Linked DNA regions of Rattus norvegicus. The protein of the gene in region 1 interacts with the protein of each later gene in a pairwise test. Links are inferred from orthologs where the notes say so. Each region holds a gene or a part of one and is shown on either strand. Other genes may lie near its edges.

The links.
Region 2: the proteins of Cryab (region 1) and Lbh interact in a two-hybrid assay, tested with the Homo sapiens proteins (2 studies listed by BioGRID, with this or other methods). The link is inferred for Rattus norvegicus from reciprocal best matches to the Homo sapiens genes CRYAB and LBH.
Region 3: the proteins of Cryab (region 1) and Crygc interact in binary tests that used the Homo sapiens proteins (3 or more experiments, as listed by UniProt). The link is inferred for Rattus norvegicus from reciprocal best matches to the Homo sapiens genes CRYAB and CRYGC.

Annotation. Positions count from the first base shown.
Region 1 is NC_086026.1:59,989,210-59,994,645, reverse strand, and holds the start of Cryab (alpha-crystallin B chain), read right to left. Parts: upstream 3,116-5,436; 5' UTR 2,787-3,115; coding exon 2,586-2,786; intron 1,559-2,585; coding exon 1,436-1,558; intron 1-1,435. Other genes in the region: Hspb2 (heat shock protein beta-2), read left to right, coding at 3,840-3,933, 4,357-4,811. UniProt on the Homo sapiens protein: May contribute to the transparency and refractive index of the lens. Has chaperone-like activity, preventing aggregation of various proteins under a wide range of stress conditions.
Region 2 is NC_086024.1:28,337,648-28,342,295, forward strand, and holds part of Lbh (protein LBH), read right to left. Parts: intron 4,182-4,648; coding exon 4,079-4,181; intron 1-4,078. UniProt on the Homo sapiens protein: Transcriptional activator which may act in mitogen-activated protein kinase signaling pathway.
Region 3 is NC_086027.1:73,944,243-73,949,210, forward strand, and holds Crygc (gamma-crystallin C), read right to left. Parts: upstream 3,106-4,968; 5' UTR 3,099-3,105; coding exon 3,090-3,098; intron 2,998-3,089; coding exon 2,755-2,997; intron 1,434-2,754; coding exon 1,158-1,433; 3' UTR 1,090-1,157; downstream 1-1,089. UniProt on the Homo sapiens protein: Crystallins are the dominant structural components of the vertebrate eye lens.

The DNA.
Region 1 (5,436 bases):
ATAAATTGTTCTAATTGCTCAGGAATGTCTCAGAATGTTTCTAGTATAATATTGCTGATATTATATAAGGTGACCCTATCAGTGACACTGTGGTCCAGTCCTAAATCATGAGCAAAACCGAGGTATTGATTTTTGTTTTTTGTTTTGTTTGAGATAAGTAGGGTTTCTCTGTTGAGCTCCTGCTCTCCTGGAACTCATTCTGTAGTCTAAGCTGGCCTCTAACTTAGATCTGTCTACCTCTGCCTCCCAAATGTTGGGATTAAAGGCATGCACCACCACGGCACAGCTGAGTTATTTTTTGTTAAGATTTTTTTAATTTTATGTATGAGCACTCTATCTGCATGTACACCTGCATGCCAGAAGAGGGCATTGGATCCCATTACAGATGGTTGTGAGCCACCATGTGGTTGCTGGGAATTGTATGCAGGACCTCTGGAAGAGCGGTCAGTGCTTTTAACTGCTGAGCCATCTCTCCAGGCCCTAAGTCATTAATTTTTTTTTCTTTTCTTTTTTTCGGAGCTGGGGACTGAACCCAGGGCCTTGCGCTTGCTAGGCAAACGCTCTACCGCTGAGCTAAATCCCCAACCCCAAGTCATTAATTTTTTTTTTTTTGGTTCTTTTTTTTCGGAGCTGGGGACCGAACCCAGGACCTTGCGCTTCCTAGGTAAGCGCTCTACCACTGAGCTAAATCCCCAGCCCCCCAAGTCATTAATTTTTAAGAAGCAATCATAACACCTTTTTAGGAAGTCAAGAAAAAAAAATGCTAAAAATGCAAGAGGAATTGTGGATGCTAATCCTGTTACCTATTGAATCCCAAGTACCCCAAGCATCCACACAAACAAATCTCAATTAACTTCCTCACAGCCATAAGCCTGAAGCTCTGAAAAGCAGACAAACCAAGTAGCATAGCATTAAACTGAGCAGAAGAGGCATGGAATCCTGAACATTCAAAAGCCACAGATTTTATTGCCTTCGACTCCGTGGTGACTGTCATTTCGCAGAGCCATTATGTACAGCACACTGTGCCTAGAGCAATGGCTGCCAGTTTGGGGTACAGAAAGTACCCAAGGAGTGAGTTTGTTTGTTTGTTTGTTTAAAGGTTGATGCCTGAGCTATGTCCCTAAAACTTCAGATTCAATTGGCCTAGGATGTGCTGAGGGTTGGGAATGTTGAGAATTCTTCTGCTATTCTGACGTCACTGGACAAGACAAGGCAATCAAAAGGAACATCCAGGGGAAAGTTCTCTCAGCACAGCCACAACACTAACAGCAGATCTAGCCCTAACTTGTTTCCCAGCCATTGATCTATAACTCCTGATCTAGTCTTATGTTTGGGGACTGGAATTCTGCCAGCCTCAGAGGCTGGTGGCGGCAGTCCCTGGCATCCAGCAGGGCACTAAATGAATTCACAAGAGAAGGCAGAAAGGTCCACACACCTGGCGCTCTTCGTGCTTGCCGTGCACCTCAATCACGTCTCCCAGAACCTTGACTTTGAGTTCCTCTGGAGAGAAGTGCTTCACGTCCAGGTTCACAGAGAACCTGTCCTTCTCCATACGCATCTAGAATAACAAGGGGGCGGAGGAGAAAAGATGGTAGAATGTCCATTAAGCTGGAGAAGGCTCATCGTCCAGGAGATTTACTTCCTGCCCTGGTAATCCATCCTCTACCTGGCTGCTGGGGGAAAAATCCTCTTATGACTAGTGACACTGGTATATGTGAGCCACCATGGTGATACCCAAAAGACACCTCTTAGTCATCCATCAGTCCCAAACTTTACCGAGAGGCACAGGGAAGAAGACGGGTCAGTAGGAGACTAGTCACAAGAATGGGTCTGGGGATGGCATCTGCTGCCTCTCTACCCAGTGCTGGCTTTGTCATTTGTCTATAAAACAAAAGCCCCCTTTTTCTTGTTCAGTTGCCTGCCAAGTTTCCAACCCACTCGATCTGGAATGTTCTGTCCTTCCAAAGCCCTTGCTCACTCAGCTCCTGTTTCCTCACACGCGAATATTTTTAAACCACAGTGTTATCTGTGACAACCTCTGTTAATCTTATCTCCCACGCTGCTGAGATAAGAAGTCAGGGCTTCCCAAGAGCGGTCCTCTTAAGGCATGGACTGAAGTCAATGCACTGTCTCAGCCCCGAGGAACCCGGAAAGTCATAGGCCAAGGAAGAGAGAGAGAGAGAGAGAGAGAGAGAGAGAGAGAGAGAGAGAGAGAATATTGATTGATGTATCCAGCTCCATCAAAAGGAAGTGGGGAGGAAAGAAGACAGGAAAAGCCCAGAATGAGTGGGTTTCTATCTGATCTCTACAGTTTGAGATGATAAAATCTGCCAGGACTGGGACTATTAAAGAGGTGGGTAAAGGAGTTGAAAGAGGAGAAAGAGGCACCATGCACAGAAAAATGGACCAGGAAACAGGAGCATCAAACAGAAACAGGTGCCCACAGGAAGAAGAAAACAGTAACCTCATTTCTCTGTACCTTTGCACACGCACATGCCTAAAATGACTTAGGCAGGGTGAAAGGGCAAAGGAATGGAGAGACCAGGAAGGATACGTATTCCTGCCCTGGCACAAGGGAGACTTACCTCTGAGAGCCCAGTGTCAATCCAGCTAGGTGCCCGCAGGAAGGAGGGTGGCCGAAGGTAGAAGGGGCTCAGGGAAGTGGCTGTAGAGAAGAGGTCAGACTCCAACAGGTGCTCTCCGAAGAACTGGTCAAAGAGGCGGCTTGGGGAGTGGAAAGGAAAGAAGGGACGCCGGATCCAGGGGTGGTGGATGGCTATGTCCATGATGGCTAGATGAGTGTAGAGTCGGTTAGCCGGTCAACTCCTTCAGCCGCTGCTACAGCCTGCCCCTTATATATGCAGTCTTGTGAAGCTTCTGGAACGGTGATGTCAGGGGTTTTATTATCCCAGCTCCCCGACAGTTCATGGGGACTTGTGATCAGGGATTTGGCAGGGTGACACATACCCAGTACTCACTGAGCTAAGAAAAGAGAAACACGGGGCAGGGCTGAGCTGGCCGGTGACTTGTCACGGTCTTGTTTCACTAGCTCTCTGTCCACACCTAGTGGCACCCACCCACCCCATCCTTGTTCTCTGGAGCCAGGACAGGGTCTGGAATCCCAAGCAGCTGCTGGTGGGCCCCTCCTCCTCTCCAGTCTTGCATGCCAGGGGAATTGAGCCAGCAACTATCTTGGGCCTGGGCAGAGGCTGGAATCTTCCTGGGCTGAGCCCCAGGGACATTAACTCTTTGTGGAGTCCCAGAGGAGAGCTGTGACCACCAATATGTCAGAACTAGGTGTCTGACTGGAACCCCGAGTTGATCTAGGTTCAGAAGACCCTGACATTAAAAAGACAGAAAATGTTTCTTGTATTTTTGACGTTCTGTGGCTCATAGAACATTGTCTTTTTTTTTTTTTTTTTCTAAGTAATGTGCTCAGTGCCTGAGACTGATAAGGACAAAGGGTGATGTGGAATGTACAATTGGTGAAGGGCCCAACCAGGCCTCTCCTTGCCCTCCTGCAGCGCACCAGTTTCTCTTCCCAGCTTACTCTAGGACCAGGACCCTCAGCTGTTCTTCCAGGCCTATGCGACAGCTGAAGGGTATACAGAGGAGGGGACTTAGGGGGTCCAGGCTGCGCTGATCACACCCTCATAGCTGCACTCTAGACTTAGGCTCCCACCCCTCCCCCATCCCCCAGACGCTCTGCACTATTTTGGGTGGTGTAGACCCCGCCCCCACTCTGACTGAGTCCTGGCTCTCCCTCTGAAGCTGGAGGGGTCGCCTTGATCTTGTTGGGGCTACACTTGGGATCAGGGCTACTAGTCGCAACAGCAGTCATGTCGGGCCGCACAGTGCCACACGCCCACCCAGCCACTGCCGAGTACGAATTTGCCAACCCTAGCCGCCTGGGCGAGCAGCGCTTCGGAGAAGGTATGGCTCAGATGCTTCCTACCCCCACCTCCGGAAATTCTGGGCTCACTGCCCAGCTTCACTGGCCTCCACTCTACCTGGGGCTTAAGTGAACTCCTGAGGTGAGCCATCTCCCACCCCAGACTCCCCCCTCAAGCAAGACTCTCTCTGGTCTTGCTAACAGACTTCAGGACCAAACTTTAGATCGGCAGGGCTTTCGGTGTCCGGGCCTTGCACGCTTCAGAGTATTTTCTGGTTTTGCTTCTGTCCTCCAGTTCCAGCTCGCTTTTTCCGTAACCATCTCCTCTCCTTTCCCAGCCCCTCTACAGTTTCCCACCTGCTCTTCTAGCCCATATCTCCAGATATCGCCTTTCAGCCCTGTCTGTGCCCGCTGCATTCTTCCTCATCCTGCCTCTTGCCTTCTCTTTCTTTCTCTGCTCCCAGGCCTCCTGCCAGAAGAGATCCTGACCCCCACCCTCTACCATGGCTACTATGTTCGGCCCCGGGCCGCCAGAGCTGGGGAGGGCGGCAGGGCAGGGGCCTCAGAGCTCAGGCTCAGTGAAGGCAAGTTCCAGGCATTTCTGGATGTGAGCCACTTTACCCCAGATGAGGTGACCGTGAGGACTGTGGACAACCTGCTAGAGGTGTCTGCCCGACACCCCCAACGTCTGGACCGCCACGGCTTCGTGTCCCGAGAGTTCTGTCGCACCTATGTCCTGCCTGCAGATGTGGACCCCTGGCGGGTCAGAGCTGCTCTCTCCCATGATGGCATCCTTAACTTGGAGGCACCGCGGGGTGGCCGGCATCTGGACACGGAAGTCAATGAGGTCTACATCTCCCTGCTTCCTGCACCTCCTGACCCCGAGGAAGAGGAAGAGGTAGCCAGAGTTGAACCCTGACTGCCAGACCCAGAACCCGGTGAATCCCCTGTCTACCTCCCGTGGTGATTCCAGAAATCCACCACACCCCAGAGGGAGCAGCATTCCTGGGAGATGGGATAGGTGCATGGTCCACAGTGTATGGTTTGGTCCCTTGATGAATCGTAGCCTTCGATTTAATTCTGGGTGAGGCTAAATAAACCAAAATCTAGGGGCCTTGTTTGTGCTGCTCCTGTCTGTAACCTGGTAGACCGAATGGCGTCCGTGTGGGCAGAAAGTCATAGGCTGCTCTTCCCACTGTGAAATATGCCTATCGTCTCAGCATCCCCAGCTCACACTTGGATGCTGAGATCACACCCGGAAGCTGACACTGGCTCCAGATCAAATTCCTAGCCATAATTTTCTCACAATGCAACAAAAGAGAGGGTGATCCTGGGAGGGATAGGGGATAGGCCATCCAAACAGCCCAGAGGGCACTGTCTGAGCTGGCGATTAGGGACACAAAAACAAGGGTCTCCAGGCTGTCTGGCCCTTTTTTGGGTAGGGGTTAGGAAAAATGTTTTTTTGGCTGGAGAGAGTAGCCTGAAGCTCTAGAGTGAGTGCTTTGCTCCTCACATCAATGGGATATTCGTGGAAAGATCTCTGA
Region 2 (4,648 bases), on another chromosome or scaffold:
ATGACAACAGAAGGAGAGCCTGGGGAGGGGCTGCGGCTGCAGCTCAGGGGGCAGCGCACTTGTCTAGAATGTATAAGGCTCTGACTTTACTCTCCAGCAACACAGCTTGGTACTCTAGCGCTTGGGGTGAGAGGGTCAGAAGCTTAAGGTCACCCTCAGCTTCTCGGAGAGTTCCGGGGCAACATGAGCTAGAGAGTATATGATAATTGTGGGAGAGTACAGTAAACAAACTATGTGTAAACATGGTAATTAAAAATAGGACGGCAGGGGTTGGGGATTTAGCTCAGTGGTAGAGCGCTTGCCTAGGAAGCGCAAGGCCCTGGGTTCGGTCCCCAGCTCCAAAAAAAAAAAAAAAAAAAAAAATAGGACGGCTTATGTATGCTGTACCAGGAGAAGTTAGGGAGCAAGGCCAAAACGCCAGGACCCCCTTAGGGTTCATCAGTATAGGGTTCATAGGGGAATAAGTAGAAACCTTCCTCATAAAGAGCTCTGGCCAATATGAGAGGAACCTTCAGAGAAAGACACATACATCACGTCCTTATAGTCGTGGGTCGGTAGAAAGAGTAGGCTCCACCAGGCATCCAGTGATCGGCTTGCACTGGATGGCCCACGTTCCTGTCCCATAGGCTGGTGACTGACTGGGAAGCCCATAGACACAGCATAGGCATGGAGCCCTTAAAGACATCAATATCCTCACAGAGACCCTCCCACGAGCCTCTGAGAGCATGCCACCGCCCACAGCCGGAGCTAAATGGACTCGGCTTTCTAGTAACCATTTACTCACCCACCCCGTGCGGTGTGATAATTCCTGCCAAATAAACGTGCCACGTGGGTTTCACTTATTTGAATAACTCTCCAGATGGATATGGAGACAACACAAGACACTAGCTCCAGATTATTATGTGTGCTCACAGAATGGCGTGAACTCAGGTCTGGGGACGTAGCTCTCCATTGGCACCCTGCTTGCCTGGCGTGCATGAGGCCCTGGGTTTGATCCCCGGCACCACATAAACTGGCCATGGTGATCTGTGCCTATAAGCCCAGCACTGAAGAGGTGGAGGCAGGGGGATTAAGAGTTTAAAGTCACCTTTTGCTATAGAATGCACGAGACCCCGTCCCAAAATGAAGTAAAATAAAACTAAACACGAACAATTATTGCTGTGAATTTCTGAAGAATAATAGAAGACCTAACCCGAATCCTTTGGGGGATAAAACGTTCAGCAGGACCTTCAGAGGCCACCACAGAGGTAAAGATGGCTAAGTTCCAAATCAGGATACCCTTCCCCTTACAGCTTCTCTGTAAATGTATCGGTACATGAACGGGGAAAGGATGATGGCTAAAGGATGCAGTGTTGATAGCAAGGCCCTGGCTGGCATTGAAGAAAATGCAGGACCCATGTCCTGAAAATCCATCACAGCATCGTTAGAAAGTATAAAGTTCCACAGGCACGGAAAGGATGGCCGTATACACCATAGAGAACTCAGCAAAGCTTGATTCTGAGTGGGTCTGTAAGGTAGGGGAGTGACCTGAACGTCCAATGGGCCACTTATATGATGACCTTGTTTCAAGGTCAAATCACAAGCCTGAGATTGTATTTCATCTGCCAAGTCGGAGTTGCTGTCTCCAGGCCTCACTCGGTTCCTTGGAAAAGCAGGTCTCAGTAAAAGCCACATACTATTATTATCCTCAGGAGTAAAGCCAAGAAGAGAGCACTCAGTTCCCACCCTTAGCTCCAAGCAGAGCCCAAGCATGCAGGGCGATAGGCTTTAGCTAAGAGCCGGGCCCAGCCAATCCCTGGGGCATTGGTGGGAAAGCTTTTAATTTGAGGACACCAGCTTTGTGGGGGCCCGGGGTGTACCCATCATTTGACAGTTGCCAGACCAGCTCACGGCAGAGCCCCACACTTTGCATAAACATGTGCAGCCAAAGGGTATCTGGAGCTGCAGTAGAATTACATGTGAGAGATGGGGTTGCCCGCCCTTTCCCCTGAGGCTCCCACTTTCCTTCAAAGCCCACCGCTCGCTGATTCCCTGCCTCATAACATCTCACATTCTGTAGCATCACACATCATCAGTGCCCACACGTTTCGGGTAGACTGCTGTGTTCCAGAAGTATATGTACATGCTGGTTCCCGTAAGCCCCAGGCTCTGAGCGCAACAACCCGTCAGGCTGAATGTAGAAAGTGTCTAGTAAATACCATTTGGCTAAACACTGAAACTTTCCCTTTTCACTAGACAACCAAGAGCCTTGTCTGAAGCCATCTATGACCAGAGGGCTTAACAGTTCCTACAGTTCTGAGTAAAGTGTTTGCACATGGGGCAGTGGTCCCCACCCGGGGACAGAGATTGACTTCCTGGGGGTTGTGGGAACTGGGCCCTCAATACAGAGGGATGAAGGGGGGAAAAAAACAAACTTTGGAAGCCTTTTTCTCAAGAGGTGTCTACATATTGCAAGAACCCAGAGATGCTTTTCTTTTTCTCCAGCCCCCATCCCGCTCCCCCACGGTCAACGAGATGTGCTCTGAGGGTTACAGGGCTGAGAAGGTTGCCTAACTCTCTTGCCTGGGATATAGTTAAAGGAGAAATAGAAACACACTGTCAGGTACAGCTCGGAAAGGTTCTGTGGTGGAAATCTACAACCCGGAACTGAAAATACGCCCTCACCTGTAACCAGACATTCAGTCTGACTCAGAGGCTTGGAAATTAGTAGCCAAAACTACACAGGCAGGTGGGTCAGGAAATTTCTGTACCTCCCACCTGGCCACAGGGGCTCTCAACTGCCTTTCTCAGTCCCTCTCCAGGAAAGGAAGGTTAGAAGAGCCTTTTCCCTTAGGCCCCTCATCACCCCCTGCAGGCCAACAAGTGAGGTCTGAGGTGTTGACACAAAACAAAGGGATTCCTGAGTCCGCCAAGCATGTCTGGTATCTGAAGACTTGCTTCCAATCTTAGCTTGCCTCTTGGCTTCTTCTTGACTACTCTCCTCCCATCAAATGGCTCCCAGCCCAGTTCTTCTATTCGTTTCATTCTTTACAAAATAATTGTCCCTGAAACGGCTCTGAGGAACAAGCAGCCGGAGTAAGTCTAGACTCAGGTCAGAACTAGCCCAGCGTGAAGGCACAGGATATGTCAGAAGATCAGAAACATTAGGAGTAGAGATCCAAGCCCCCATACACGGCAGGCCTGGGGTCTCAGTATAACTGGGCATTCCCTTGGGATACAGCAAAAAATGAACAAGGTAATGTGTGCCAAGTGCTTTGCACTTCATGCTCCTTCCTTCTTGCCTAGGCTAGCTGCTTTACACAATACCCTCAGCCTCAACACATTCCCTCACACATAGTCTCTCCTCCAAATTTGCCATCTAGGGACTCTCTGATGCTTGCAAACCTGAGGTAACCAAAGTGCTCCTACTGACTGGGATGCTATCCCTCCACCTCGCTGTCACAGTGAAGCTTCACCACACTGGCCAAGAGGGAGAGAAAAGAAAGCCTTCTATTCTGTTCTCGCTGTCCTCCATGTTTATCCCCACAAGACAGGATGATCCCTAGGCCGCAGCCTCTCTCAGCATCTCTAAGAGGCTGTCCTCTTCAGCTCTGTGCAATTTAAACTTGAACTCTGACTCAGCAGGTCAATTATCACCCTGAGATGACAGATAGCCATTCTCCTATCAGACCACCCTTCCCTATCAGCTGCCTCACCTCATGGCTGCATTTTTCCTGGGAAAAGCCTGGCTGGGGAGAGCAGTCTGCTGTTGTTGGGGAAGATCAGAAAGGCTAGCTAGTGATGTCAGTCACTGTTTGCTGAACCCCTAGGTGTCCCGGCACTGTAAATGCCATCAACTCACCCTCCCCCATCACCTTGACTCTTTGTCATACTCCTCTAGGATGCACACCATGGTTGCTTCCTCTGACAAATGGAGAGACTGAAGCTCGCTGTCAGTCAAGGACTTTCTCAAGGTGACCCAGCTGTTACAGGCAATACCTGGACCCTCAGACTCTTACAGGTGATACTGGGATTCCTCAAACCAAGCCTACTTCCAGTCTCGGCAGAAGTCACAAGGCTCCAAGAAGTTTGAGCTCACCTGATAGGAAAGGCCATCCTTGCGGGGGCTGAGGCCAATCTCTTCCATGGAGGGAGCATTCATCATCACCTCAGTCATCTCAGCCGATCTCAGATAGTCAGAGCTGGAAGGAGATCCACACTAGAAGTCAGTGCATGCTCACACGGGCCCTAAGATCCGGGGATTGGCTAAAGGCAAGATGAGAAATGCTCAAACAGTTCACAGCGAAGCAAGCTCACAGGAGCAAAAAACCAGCAGGCCTACAGCACTGTGGCTCACTGGCCTCAAGAGGCAAAGCCTGCCCTCTGCAACTTCACACACACACTTGCACACACACACACACACACACACACACACACACACACACACCCCAACCCCTTCACAAAGCAAATTGAATTTTCTTTTAAACAAACTAGAAACACAACGGTGGCAGCACGGGCGGGGGTGGGGTTGGGGGAGTGCTGCGTCTGTGTGTCCACATGAAAATAATGCAGCCAGGTTTCCCTTCACCCATTAAAAATGAGAGTAATCTTGCCCATGGATTTCCAGTGGGAACTGCACAGTAGGATTACATAATAACAATAGCAGTCC
Region 3 (4,968 bases), on another chromosome or scaffold:
ATTAGCTGTCATGCCTCCCCAGCCATTATGGACTCCCTTCTGGAACTATAAGCTTAAACACATGCTTTCTTTTATAAGTTCCTTTTGATGACAATGGAAATAGAAATGTAATAATACAATCAGCAACTTGACACAACCCAAAATGACTTGGAAAGAAAGTCCCACCTGCCCACCCCAACCCCCCAAACAGGGTTTCTCTCTGTACAAACTCTGGCTGTCCTGGAACTCACTCTGTAGACCAGGTTGGCCTCTTCGAACTCAGACGTCCCCCTGCCTCTGCTTCCTGAGTGCTGGAATTAAAGGCCTGTACCATTACTGCCCAACAGGAAGAGTCTTAATGGAGGACTGTTTAGATTGGATGGCTAAGACTCTTTCTCATTGGGAATGGTTTCAGAAGGAAGTGGGTTTTAACTTTGTGAGGTTGGTGTCACCTCTAGTCTTGTTGAGGTGATATTGTGTTCTATAGTAAATGAAATTAGTTCTCTTATGAGTCTTGATAGGCTGTTTGTCAACATTGGACTCCAATCACTTCCAGGATTAGAAGACAACTTTGACTGTGTTGTTCTTCAAGGTTGTCAGATAACTACTTCCTCCCTGGTAGTTTGTCTTGTTGCCGTGTCTTCAGCTTGACCTGGCCTTTCATTGTCCGGCAGCTATACCCTCCCTACCATGGTATACCTTCCCCAACACAGTATACCCTCACCCACATGGTGCACCCTCCCCCACATGGTATAACCTCCCCCACATGGTACACCCTCCCCCACATGGTGTACCCTCCCCAACACAGTACACCCTCCCCCACGTGGTGTACCCTCCCTACCACACCAGGTACAGTCTCCCTCCACCTGAACTTTTTTCTTTTCTTTCTGGTAGTGTTAGGGATCGAGCCCAGGACCTTGTGCACACTGAATAAAAGCTCTATCACTGAGACACATACATAGATCCCCAGCCATCTAAGACTTGTTCAAAGTTAACACCATTAAAAAGTTCTTGAACACCCTAACCTCTCCATTCTCAGCTCCACCTTCTGTAGGGAGAGTTTACAGGTGGATGTATTTGCACACAATGAAAGAATAACAGAAGTCAAGGTTTGCCAACAATACAGACTAAATACTTTATTAGGTTCCAAAATGAGAAAATGGTAGCGTTCACCTATTTTAGTATAAATCTACCACCCTCCGCAAAGAGCCTGCCTTAGCATCTACAGCGCCCCAGTCGTGGTAGCGCCGGTACTCTTGAGGCCTCAGCAGATACTGCCGGCCTCGGTAGTTAGACATCTCATAGAGGACCCAGCAGCCCTCTAGCACGTGCAGCGAGCGCACCTCACTGAGGTGGAAGCGGTCCTGGATGCAGGAGCAGTCTTCACTCAGCTCCATCATGACGCCTTTGTGATCTTCTTTCTCATACAGACGCATCCTGTGGGAACCTGTCTGCTTGGGTCACACAAAGAAAGATGAGAAAAGAGCAGTTGAGTCTCTTCCAGAACTCACCCAAGCTAAACAACGGGTGAGGCAGGGGGCTGTTGGAGTAAGATCTGAGCCTGCGAGATTTTGGAGAGCTATTCATGGATGGGTCTCCTGCTCGCATTAGAGACGCCCAGGTTTCTTTTCATTTAGAACAGTGGTTCTCAATCTATAGGTCCAATGACCTGTTTACAGTGATGGCTTAAGACCATCGGAAAACACGGGTATCTATATTATGATACACGACAGTAGCAAAATTACAGTTAGGAAGTAGCAACAAAAGGAATTTTATGGCTAGGGGTCACCACAACATAAGGAACTTTTTTAAACGGTTGTGGCATTAGGAGAGTTGAGAACCCACTGATCTAGGAGGTGGGACTTATAAGATATTACAAGTGAATTTGAGCATATCAAAAATTAAAATATCTTAATTCACAATTTCTTATATTCATTCTAAGCTGTATGTTGGAGGGTATACAAATACATATTTTAACTAGTATTTTTTTAGTTATATATATTTTTATACATAAAAATATATAATTTTTATATATAAAATAGGATTTTTTATTTATATATATTTTTGTTTTTTGAGAATTTCATATCATTTCCATCTGTCCCATTCTGTTTATTTTATAACCTAGATTACCATCAAACTTAAAATACTTTTGTCTCAGCTTCCTGGACCCTAGGAATCCAGGCTATCACTATGCCTGGCTAAAGTGGAGTTCTGAAAAATCACACACTTCTGTGGAAAGTTAATTTAAATAACCGCTTATAATGAGAACTGAGCCGATCTTCAAAACTAAGGAAAATTATCATTTGAGTTCTGCCCGTACAGTTTCTGATCTCCGTACTTTTCAATGTTTTCTACTCCACAATAAAGTTTAATTAACTCCCTTACCAGGAATCCCTTTATTAAATACATAAAAATCAATCTGATGAGTGTAATTACCCTCTCATTCCCAACTAGTTTTGTTTTATATCCCTGCATAAGATTACATTCGTTGGGACAACTTTTGATTAATCTAATGGTAGCAAAGAAAATTAAAAAAAAACAAAACAAAAAACAACTGGACCTTCTGAAAGTGGATTCTTCCTTATAATTCTGTTTTCCTGCCTGTATTCTCTTAGACTTAGGCAGGCATTTGAGGACCACTTAACACTTAGATACTCAGAAAAAACAAACAAACAAACAGACAGACAGACAGACAGACAAACAAACCCTATTCTCTGGATCAGTAAAACAGTGAGGACCCCTCGGCAGCAAGAAATGAAATCAAACAGGACTCACATGGGGGATGAGGCGGCAGGAGCGAATGGAGTCGCTGAAACCCATCCACTGCTGGTAGTCAGGGTAGTCCCCGCGTCGCAGGAAGTACTGGTGGCCCTGGTAGTTGGGTCGCTCATAGAGCATCCAGCAGCCACTGTCCACGCGGACGGAGTTGCAGCGGCTGAAGTAGGTCTGCAGGTTGGGGCAGTCGCTGCTGCACTCATAGCAGCGGCCCTGGAAGCCTCGGTCCTCGTAGAAGGTGATCTGTAAAGGAAGAGCAATTCTGAATGAGATCTTTTGCTCCTTGGGTCAAGGCGGTTCAGTCTGACTTTTCGTTTAGTTTGCGTTCTGCTCACCTTCCCCATGGCTGGCTGACCCGTGGTGAGTTCAGTGTCCAGGCAGAGCGGGGCCGGTCTATATAGCAGGAGGGTTGTTGCTGTGTTAGCGGAACTGCACAAAAGGGGCCCTCCGGGCTGAGGGAATTTCATGGATGGCTTTTACGGGCTGCATTCAGTGGCGGTGACTGTAGATTCGCCTGGTTCTCTAGTGTGTTCCAACGCTGCCCTGGATGAGCTAGCTGGTCAGAGTTGCTTTATTCCGATTCTTACCGTTTTTTAAATTTATCAGCACATCAGCCTGAACTTTTGACCTGAAGTCCACGTCCCTACATTTTGATTCCATTATACTTGGTAAATCTGGGAGGAATCTGCGCATTCGTAGAAGTATCCCCAGAATTGAGAATGCTGGAATTCTTCGAATACTGCAGCGACTAGTGCAACAGAGACCAGGCGATCTTATTCCTCTTCCCCCTGCTTTTCTTTACAGGGTTTGCTTGTTCAGTACAGGACACAAACCTAGATTTGGATCTTGGCTTTTCCAGGCTATGTTGAGCTGATACTCTAGGACCTAAGCTAGCTTCCACCTTGGTGGTTTCACAGTACGTGAGTCAAAATCCGTCCCTAGTAACCAGCTTGAGTTAAGAACAAAGGAAAAAATTTCTATGGTTGTGAGGCCCAAGACCGTCAAAGATGTACGAAAGTACGAATTACTTGCTTCCAAGGCCAGGGAAGACGTATACCTCCTGTGTCAGAGTCACCTGATCCAGCGCCTCTGCCTAGGACCTGCTATTCAGCTGTTAGATATAAACAGTCTTAATAAGTCCCCTCAGACAAGGTTATTCAAAGTGATTTTGTTTGAACAAAGACAAACCTACAGCCACCCAGAGGCTGCTGAGCACTGTACTGTCCTTGTGGGCCCAAATGACTAACCGTCACTTTAAAATACTTTTTAGCTATTTGTTTATCAAATACAATGTCTCATAGATGCCAGCAGAGCCTTGCTAATAAACACACATACACACACACTCACACACACACACACTTACACACACACACTCACACACATCACGTACACACCACACACACTCACACATATCACATACACACAACACACACACTCACACACATCACATACTCATACATACACACTCACATATATCACATACACACCACACACACACTCACACACACACACACACAGACAACACTAATCAGACTTAGTGGATTAGGACAAACACACACACACTCACACACACACACACTCACACACTCACACACATCACGTACACACCACACACACTCACACACATCACATACTCATACATACACACTCACATATATCACATACACACCACACACACACTCACACACTCACACACATCACACACACTCACACACTCACACACATCACATACACACCACACACACCACACACTCACACATACACACACACATCACACACTCACACATACACACTCATACATATCACATACACACCACACACACTCACACACATCACATACTCATACATACACACTCACATATATCACATACACACCACACACACTCACACACATCACATACTCATACATACACACTCACATATATCACATACACACCACACACACTCACACACACACATCACACACACACTCACACACACACTCACACATACACACACATTACACACTCACATACACACTCACACATATCACATACACACCACACACACTCACACACCACACACACTCACACATACACACTCACACATATATCACATTCATACATACACACACACCACACACAAATGTAGACACCATGAACACACATACACACACACACCACACACACATACATCACACCCACACATCCATACACATCACACACATACACACAT